Cricetulus griseus: one gene and its partner. The protein of the gene in region 2 interacts with the protein of the main gene of each other region in a pairwise test. Links are inferred from orthologs where the notes say so. Each region holds a gene or a part of one and is shown on either strand. Other genes may lie near its edges.

Region 1 (3,726 bases), on a different chromosome or scaffold from region 2:
ACTTCGGGACTTCCCATACTCATCCTTAGATCTGCTTCTTGAGTGTGAATGGGAACCCCGATCAGACTTGGGCTTAGATTTGCTCTTTGATCTGGATTTCCTGCCTTTTGAGCGGGATCGGGATCGACCTTTGCTCCGCGACCTAGATCTGTGTAAGAAAAGCCAGATTTCTTTCAGTATCTTGTCAGAAATCACATGTACTCCATCAACAGGTAAAATTAAGAAAGACCCACTACCACATTATTTACCGGGAGCGACTTTTTGAGATACTTCGAGATCTACTGCGGCTGCTCCTGCGACTCCTACTCCGTGACCTTCTTCTAGACCGTGATCTACACACAAGAGACAGTGACGTTTGAATCTCTAGAAAGAATGGGTTTGTACTACTCAGCTTTGGCTGAAGTATCTGCTTACTACAACCAAGAAACTCCGTAAGTTCAATTAAGCAACAACTGAAAACTACAAGCCATCCCAGTCCCTCATGTTACCTGGATCTACTTCCAGAGTAAGAGCGCCTATGGCTTGTTCGTGGTTTATCTTCAATAAGCCTAATATTTCTGCCATTTATTTCTGTGCCATCTAGTTTATCCAAAGCACGCTTCATGTCAGAGTAGGATCTAAATTCAATTACACCCTCATTTGTTCGTTCTTTATGAGCATCTGCATAAGTCACTTCTCCTGCTTGCCGCATGAAATCCTAAAATAATAAGACTGGTCAGTCCCAGAAATCTAGAGCATGTCTGTGCAGCACCAACTCTTAAGGAAATGACCACCCACTGTCATTTAAGGCCCAGGCACATACCTTTAAGTCTTGCCAACTGCACCGACTAGACAGATTTTCTACAATAAGCCTGTATTCTGTACGAACAGGTGGTCCATATTTGTCTCTGCCAGAAGTTCTCCGACTGCTGTATCCACCTCCACCACCTTTATCACACGGAGGGAATAATTAGATGCATTGCAATGACAGGGATGCATGTTTTTGAAAGTTAGTACAAACATAGCAACGTTTATTACTGGAGTAGGACTTTGCTATTATACTGCTAAACCCTCGATACATTTGTGATTTGCCACAAATTAAATTAAGGGCAAGTCAAATAGACTAAATCCAACTAACCCTCTCCTACAATCTGTTAGAGAGTGACTGCTCCTTTAGTCAATTTACCTCGCTAAGTTTTATTTTACAGAACATTGTAAAATATAAAACTTAACTGATTACATGCATTTCTACATTTTACAAAAATGTTTACTAGTTACACTAAGTACTTACATCACAGTGTGAGGTTTTTGGTGGTGGTTTGGCCACAAAACACGCAAGGTAACAGTCACCTAGTTCAGATTAACCAGTTTTGTCTAACCCTTGGAATCCTCACCATCACCCTGCGTCTAATGGCAAAAGGCTGCTGTCGTCATGGCTTCCGGTAAGGTCAGCCAAAGGGTCATAGGGCAAGGGTCACACAATGTATGGAAAAGCCAAGGCCAATCAGGAAAGGCAGTCATCTTAGCCTCAGTGGACACAGCCTCAGCCCCATTGGTCACTTTTAAATTGAAACATCAAGGACTTGTTAAAAAGTTTGAATTCAACATGCAACAATTTCAACATTAAACATTTCACATAACCAAAATCCCCCCAACCCCCTCCCAGTAACATGCCCCAAACCAGTTCAAATATAGCATAAAGCTAATTTAGATTTACGTTGTGGTAGTCTACCACATTTAGTTAGTTTTAAATGGCATTCTCTTTGGCCCTCGCCAAGTCTCCCCTCACCTAAGGCTTAAGCTCCAAGCTCCTCCCCTTTCCCCGCCCCCTGCCCCACCTCCACCCCAGCTTTCCTAGAAACTTCCTCGACGCTAGCTAAAGCACTGACAGAAAAAGCAAGGGGGAAATGGTACAAATACAGGCAACCCCCGCTTTCAACGTGGGCAGAGCCCAACACCAGTGCCAACGAGGGCCAACTGAAGCCACCCCTTCCAAACTCAGCCAACCAACCAGCCAGCCACCCGACCAACCCAATCCCCGCGCTCCGGTGTCCTATGGCTCCCCGAGCATGCGTGGAGGCAGAGGGGGCCCGGGAACACCCAGGGCCAACGACCCCCGGCCTCCGCGCCTGCCCGGGTCAGGGAGGTCCCGCCCTGCGCCCCCCTCCCCCGTGACCGCCCCCGCCCGGTACCCAGGACGCGGAGCGCGCGGGGGGGGAAGAACTCACTGCGGCTTCCGTAGCTGTAGCCATCGCGGTCGCGGCGCGGGCCCCGGGCGTGCTCTACGATCACGCGCTCGCCACACAGCTCCTTGCTGTTTAGCTCGTAAACGGCGTCGTCGGCGTCGCGGGAGTCCTCGAACTCCACGAAACCGTACCTGAGGAGGGGCGGAGCGCGGGCCGCGCACCGGCGGGCGTGTCGTTAGCCGGCGCTGCGCGCTCCCGCCACCTCCCCGCGCGCGCTCGGCGCCGCCGCCGCCATCTTGGAGGCCCTGCCACGCGGCGCCGCGGCCTCGGTCGACTCGGTCCTTGGGGGCTCCCTCCGCCACGGGGCGCGGACCCCCAGACCCGACTCACCCATTTTTGAGGTCGATCTCGAGGAGGCGGCCGTAGCCGCTGAAAAAGCGCTGGATGTCCTTCTCGCGGACGTTGTAGCTCAGGCGTCCTATGTAGACGCGCGGCATGGCCGTGGCGGGTGGGGTCCCGGAGGCTAGCTGAGGTGCGGCGGGCCGCGGGGCACGGCTGCGGTGCGGGTGCGGGGACGGCGAAGGCCCGAACACGCGCCTCACACCGCAGCTGCGGCCGAGTCAGCCACACAATGGTGCGCGCGCGCGCCGGCCTACGCTATAAGCGTCCGGGGCGGGGCGGGGCGGGGCGCGGCGCGTGACGTCGGCGCGCAGCACGTCCTCTCCCGCGCCGCGGCGGGCGGGCGGGCTCCCGGGCGACGGGCTTCTTGGGGGACCGCGGTCTCGCGGCCGCGATGTTCCCCGGCGCTCGGCACCCATCTCCGTACCCAGTCCAGCCGGGAGCGGGCCCTTTGACGGGTGCCTTGTCGTCAACCGCTCTCGTGCCCAAGCACGCGGAGAACGGTCCCTAGTTCTCACTGGTTCTCAGGGCTGTCCGTCAAGGCCGTTCCGGTCCCTGATTGGTGTACTGGGAAAAGAGGTTGCGCTCTCCCTTTAGCGGTTGGCTCGCGCTGGTTTCGGTGGGAACGTGCTCTCGGACTCAGTTTTCTCTGCCGCCCCATCTCTGGCCGGGAGGTCGTAGTGACCCGCCGCGGGGAAGGTGCGGTGGCGAGTCTTGAGTCTCGGTGACACCCTTCACCCCGCTCCGAATGCTGACAGCTCTGAATCCCGCGCTCACCGCGGCTGCTCACAAAGGGAGCGTGGCAAGACCCCACGCACCACCAGGCGGGTGACCCGGCGGTCCCCCAAGAACACCGAGCTCCTTTCCTACCCATGCTGTCCTTAACCCTGTTGACTAGGAAGGCACGGTGTTTATGTGGCAGAAATGCACACTTAGGAGTTTGTAGAGGTGACATCTAACGCTGTAGAGCTAGATAAACAAGACACCCCCCCACCCCCTCCGGAGTAAATTAACTTAAGTACCGCAAAAGAAAGGCTGGTTGCAGAGGTTAGGAAACTGAAAGCATAGGGTGGTGTGGTGGAAGCTGGGAGAAAAGGCTGTCACCGAGTCACTCACTACCTGCTCTTCAGGAATTTGTTTTCTGCTCTCCCAACAGGTCTTT
Region 2 (3,745 bases):
ATCAGAGTTTGATTTCAGAGACAGGGCATTTTTAGATGCTGCTGAATAAATATTCTAGCCCCAAAGAGAAGAAGGAGTTCTTGGCTTTGAACAAATAAATGGAAGACAGCAAATGGTCACCTATATAGCTCCTTTCCAGGGCCATAACATCTTTTCAATCTGTTTGCCCTAAAACATACCATACACACCTACCAGGGAACATGAGCAATTCATGGTCTGGAGTAAGCAAGCATGCCTGTGTTTGATTTCATGCTTCACTATCTTCATCTTGGTCATGGCACTCATTCTAATTATTATTATTAATTTTTTTTGTTGTTTTTTTCCAGACAGGGTTTCCCTGTGGCTTTGGAGGCTGTCCTGGAACTAGCTCTAGTAGACCAGGCTGGTCTCAAACTCACAGAGATCCGCCTGCCTCTGACTCCCGATTAAAGGCGTGCGCCACCACCGCCCGGCTCATTCTAATAATTTTATTTACGGAGACAGACCCTCTCTATTGCATAGCTCTGGCAGTCTGGGAACTCACTCTATTGTCCAGGCTTGCCTTGATCTCAGAGATACTCTTGCTTCTGCTTCCGGAGTTCTGGGATTAAAGGTGTGAGCCACTAAATCTGGCTGGCACTCATTGTTATTCTTATTGTTTTTTTTTTGAGACAGATTCTCTTTATTATGTAGCTCTAACTGTTCTGGAACTCTCTAGGTAGATCAAGTTAACCCCTTGCCCGAGTACAAGGATTAAAAGGCTTATTTTATTAAAGATAAGGTCGCCAGCCCAAGCTGGCTTCAAATGTTCTATGCAGTAAAGTTTGACTGTTGCTTCTCTTGCCTCCACTGGGATTATAGGTTTTATATATGGGGCTGGAGACTGAAACCAGGGCTTCACGAAGGTAGGCAAAAGCATACTACTAACTGAACTACTCCTACAGCCTCACCTTTCCTGACAATTACTACTCAAAGGCCTTAGCTAAATCAGTCTGTGAATCTGATATGGCACCCAGCTAGCTCAGCATTAACTAGGTCCACACCCATTCTTTCCTCATTACACATGATTTCTGAATGCTTAATAAAGCCTCTAACAGCTCACCTTTAGGTCACATAGAACAACACTGTCCAGTAAGAGTGTGAGCCATGAACACAACCTCAAATTTCCTTGCAGCCACATCAAAACCGGTGGGAAAAAAAAAAAGTTTTGTTCTTGTAGTGCTGGAGAATAAAACTCAAGAGCCTGGTCCGGCAATGGTGTTGCACGCCTTTAATCCCAACACCTGGGAGGCCGAGGCAGGCGATCTCTGAGTTTGAGGCCAGCCTTGTCTACAGAGCTGGCTAGTTCCAGGACAGCCAGGGCTACAAAGAGAAACTATTGTTTAAAAAAAAAAAAAAGAAAAGGAAAAAAAAAAAAAAAAAAGAAAAGAGCAAAGAAAACAACCCCCCCTCATTTAACAAGGACTCTACTACTGACATAGACTAACAGTACAAAATTAATGATTTTTTTCTTTCTTTCTTGAGAGTGGTGGGATCATGGGTCCCAAACTTAGTTTTTAATAAGATAGTGTTACTTTTATAACATATAACCAATATTAAAATACTAAGTATTTGTGGTTTTTCCGTACTAAATTACTTAACATTTCAGTTTGGGTTGCTACCCAAGTGCTTCATAGCTATCAGTGGCAAAGAATAGCGATTTCGCTTGTGTACCCCACCCCAACCTGTAGGAATATACTTTATGAAACAACCAGAACCCGTTATTCTTAAGCAGTCCACAAATTATTAACTATAGAGTAAGCGAACACTCTGCTGGGTGTGGTCGAGTGCTAGAAGCAAAGGTGAGGGTCTCTGCTCACACAAGTTCAGGTAACAGCTCAGGACCTTGGTCACCTCCCCATCCTCCGGAAGTGTGCGTCCAACAGCCAGAGAGGAGAAAACAATTAGTTAAATCTAGAGCAGAGGCCGTTTCGTCAACCTTCAAGTCACTCTCTACATATAGAAGCACATTTGAGACGCCGTGCCTACGAAATAACACAAAGTAGAGAAAGAAAGCCTACCACCAAACCATAACCTTCCAATAGTCTCCCTTTGAGCTCGGGAACCGTGCTCAGCCCACCCTGAGCCGGATCCTCAAGGCCCAGAGCTAAGAACTACACGCAGGAGTTCGATAGACACTCGTGAAAAGAGATCTAAAAGAAAGCCAACCTTTTAGGCCGGTTCACAATCGGCACCGTCTGCTCCGGCCACATATATCGACCTCGCCTCCCACCCTTTCTCCACTCACAACTCAGGTAGGGCCTGGCGTGGCGAGCCTAGGTCTCCAGCTAGACAAAAAAAACAAGAGAAGAGGCGGCGCTCGCAGCAGCCGGGAGTCCCGCAAGCTACGCTGGGCGCCGCCAAGCTAACGATGCGGGATCGCCCTTCCGTCTGCGAGCGCCTCGACCACTTCCGGGCCGCGGCCTCGACACCTCCCACTCCGCCCGACCTGAACCACTCTTTCTCTTCGGGTTCTGCGCGTCGCCGGCAGACCTCTACCACACTGCGGGGCTGCGAAACGCAACCGGCTCCACGATGCTCCCCACCGAGCCCGGCAGAAGGTCCCCGAAGTTCGGATGCGGCCGGATTCCTTCCCAACTTACATCTTCCCGAGGCCGCCACCTCCTCCCGCTCTTCTCAGACCCGGAGGCCGGCGCAACTCTGTCGTCGTCAGAGTTGAGAAGCGGGAAGACACTGCGTCGTCGCGCAACGATGACGTAAAGCTCCTCAGCCAATGCACCCGAGCGGTGGAGACTTGAAGGCCGCGACTGTTTATAGGAAGAGCGTCCTGCCGGGACTCGTTTTGCGCAGCCTCGGAGCGCGCGGATGATTGGCTGACGGGGACTGGAGGGCTGCGTGTGTGCGGAAGGATATACTCTGGTTGTCTCTGTTACTGACTTTTTTTTTTTTTTTTTTTTTTTTTTTTTTTGAGACAGGGTTTCTCTGTGTAGCTTTGGAGCCTATCCTGGCTCTCCCTCTGGAGACCAGGCTGGCTTTGAACTCACAGAGATCCGCCTGCCTTGCCTCCCGAGTGCTGGGACTAAAGGCGTGCGCCACCACTGCCCGGCTCTTACCGACTCTTACTATTATTATTGACTCTCTTATTGAGTGCTAGGCCTACGGTATGGTTACGCGCCCTGCAGGGAGTGGTGCGCCTTACAGCCCAGGCGGCGGAGAGTCCAAGCAAAGCCGTGCTATTTATTCTAAAGGGACAGGCTGGTACCGACGGTGGGTTCCTGCCGCCAAAACTGCGTAGACGCGGGTAGGCCAGAAAGAAAGGAGTTTGAGGAAATGCCGAAGACATGCAGTAGGGGAGGCGTCTCCGAGGTGACATTTCTGAAAAGGATGCGCGGGGCGGAGGGAACAACAGGTGCAAAGGAAGGCGTCCAGGTTCGCTGGGAGAAGAAAAGGAACGCCAGTCTGGGTGAAGGTCATTGTCAGGACATAGAGGTCCAGGGCCTAGGCTACACAGTACCCGTGGTGCTGCAGTGCCCCGCCTCCCAACTTCGCTTGGCGTATTCCTTCCTCTGTGGTTCTTTGAGGAAGGAATGGATATGTACACAGTCCCTGCGGTTATCTAAACAGGTTTGAGACAGCAAGGAAGAGAGAGGAATTGATCTAAGGTTTAGGAGGAAGAAACAAAGGTGACTTGGTTTGGATTACATATCGCTGTGAAAAATAGGAGGCCAGTGTGCCCCTTGGTGACCCATGGAGAGATGGAGGGAGG

Evidence for each region. The genes of interacting proteins can lie anywhere in the genome.
Region 1: the proteins of Rnps1 (region 2) and Srsf6 interact in binary tests that used the Homo sapiens proteins (3 or more experiments, as listed by UniProt). The two-hybrid records come from large-scale screens. The link is inferred for Cricetulus griseus from reciprocal best matches to the Homo sapiens genes RNPS1 and SRSF6.

Annotation. Positions count from the first base shown.
Region 1 is NC_048599.1:16,582,564-16,586,289, forward strand, and holds the start of Srsf6 (serine/arginine-rich splicing factor 6), read right to left. Parts: upstream 2,807-3,726; 5' UTR 2,663-2,806; coding exon 2,556-2,662; intron 2,357-2,555; coding exon 2,208-2,356; intron 928-2,207; coding exon 803-927; intron 698-802; coding exon 489-697; intron 333-488; coding exon 249-332; intron 149-248; coding exon 1-148. UniProt on the Homo sapiens protein: Plays a role in constitutive splicing and modulates the selection of alternative splice sites. Plays a role in the alternative splicing of MAPT/Tau exon 10. Binds to alternative exons of TNC pre-mRNA and promotes the expression of alternatively spliced TNC.
Region 2 is NC_048600.1:43,954,407-43,958,151, reverse strand, and holds the start of Rnps1 (RNA-binding protein with serine-rich domain 1), read right to left. Parts: upstream 2,775-3,745; 5' UTR 2,624-2,774; coding exon of another isoform or gene 2,622-2,623; intron 2,313-2,621; exon of another isoform or gene 2,232-2,312; coding exon of another isoform or gene 2,188-2,231; intron 1,284-2,187; exon of another isoform or gene 1,082-1,283; intron 1-1,081. UniProt on the Homo sapiens protein: Part of pre- and post-splicing multiprotein mRNP complexes. Auxiliary component of the splicing-dependent multiprotein exon junction complex (EJC) deposited at splice junction on mRNAs.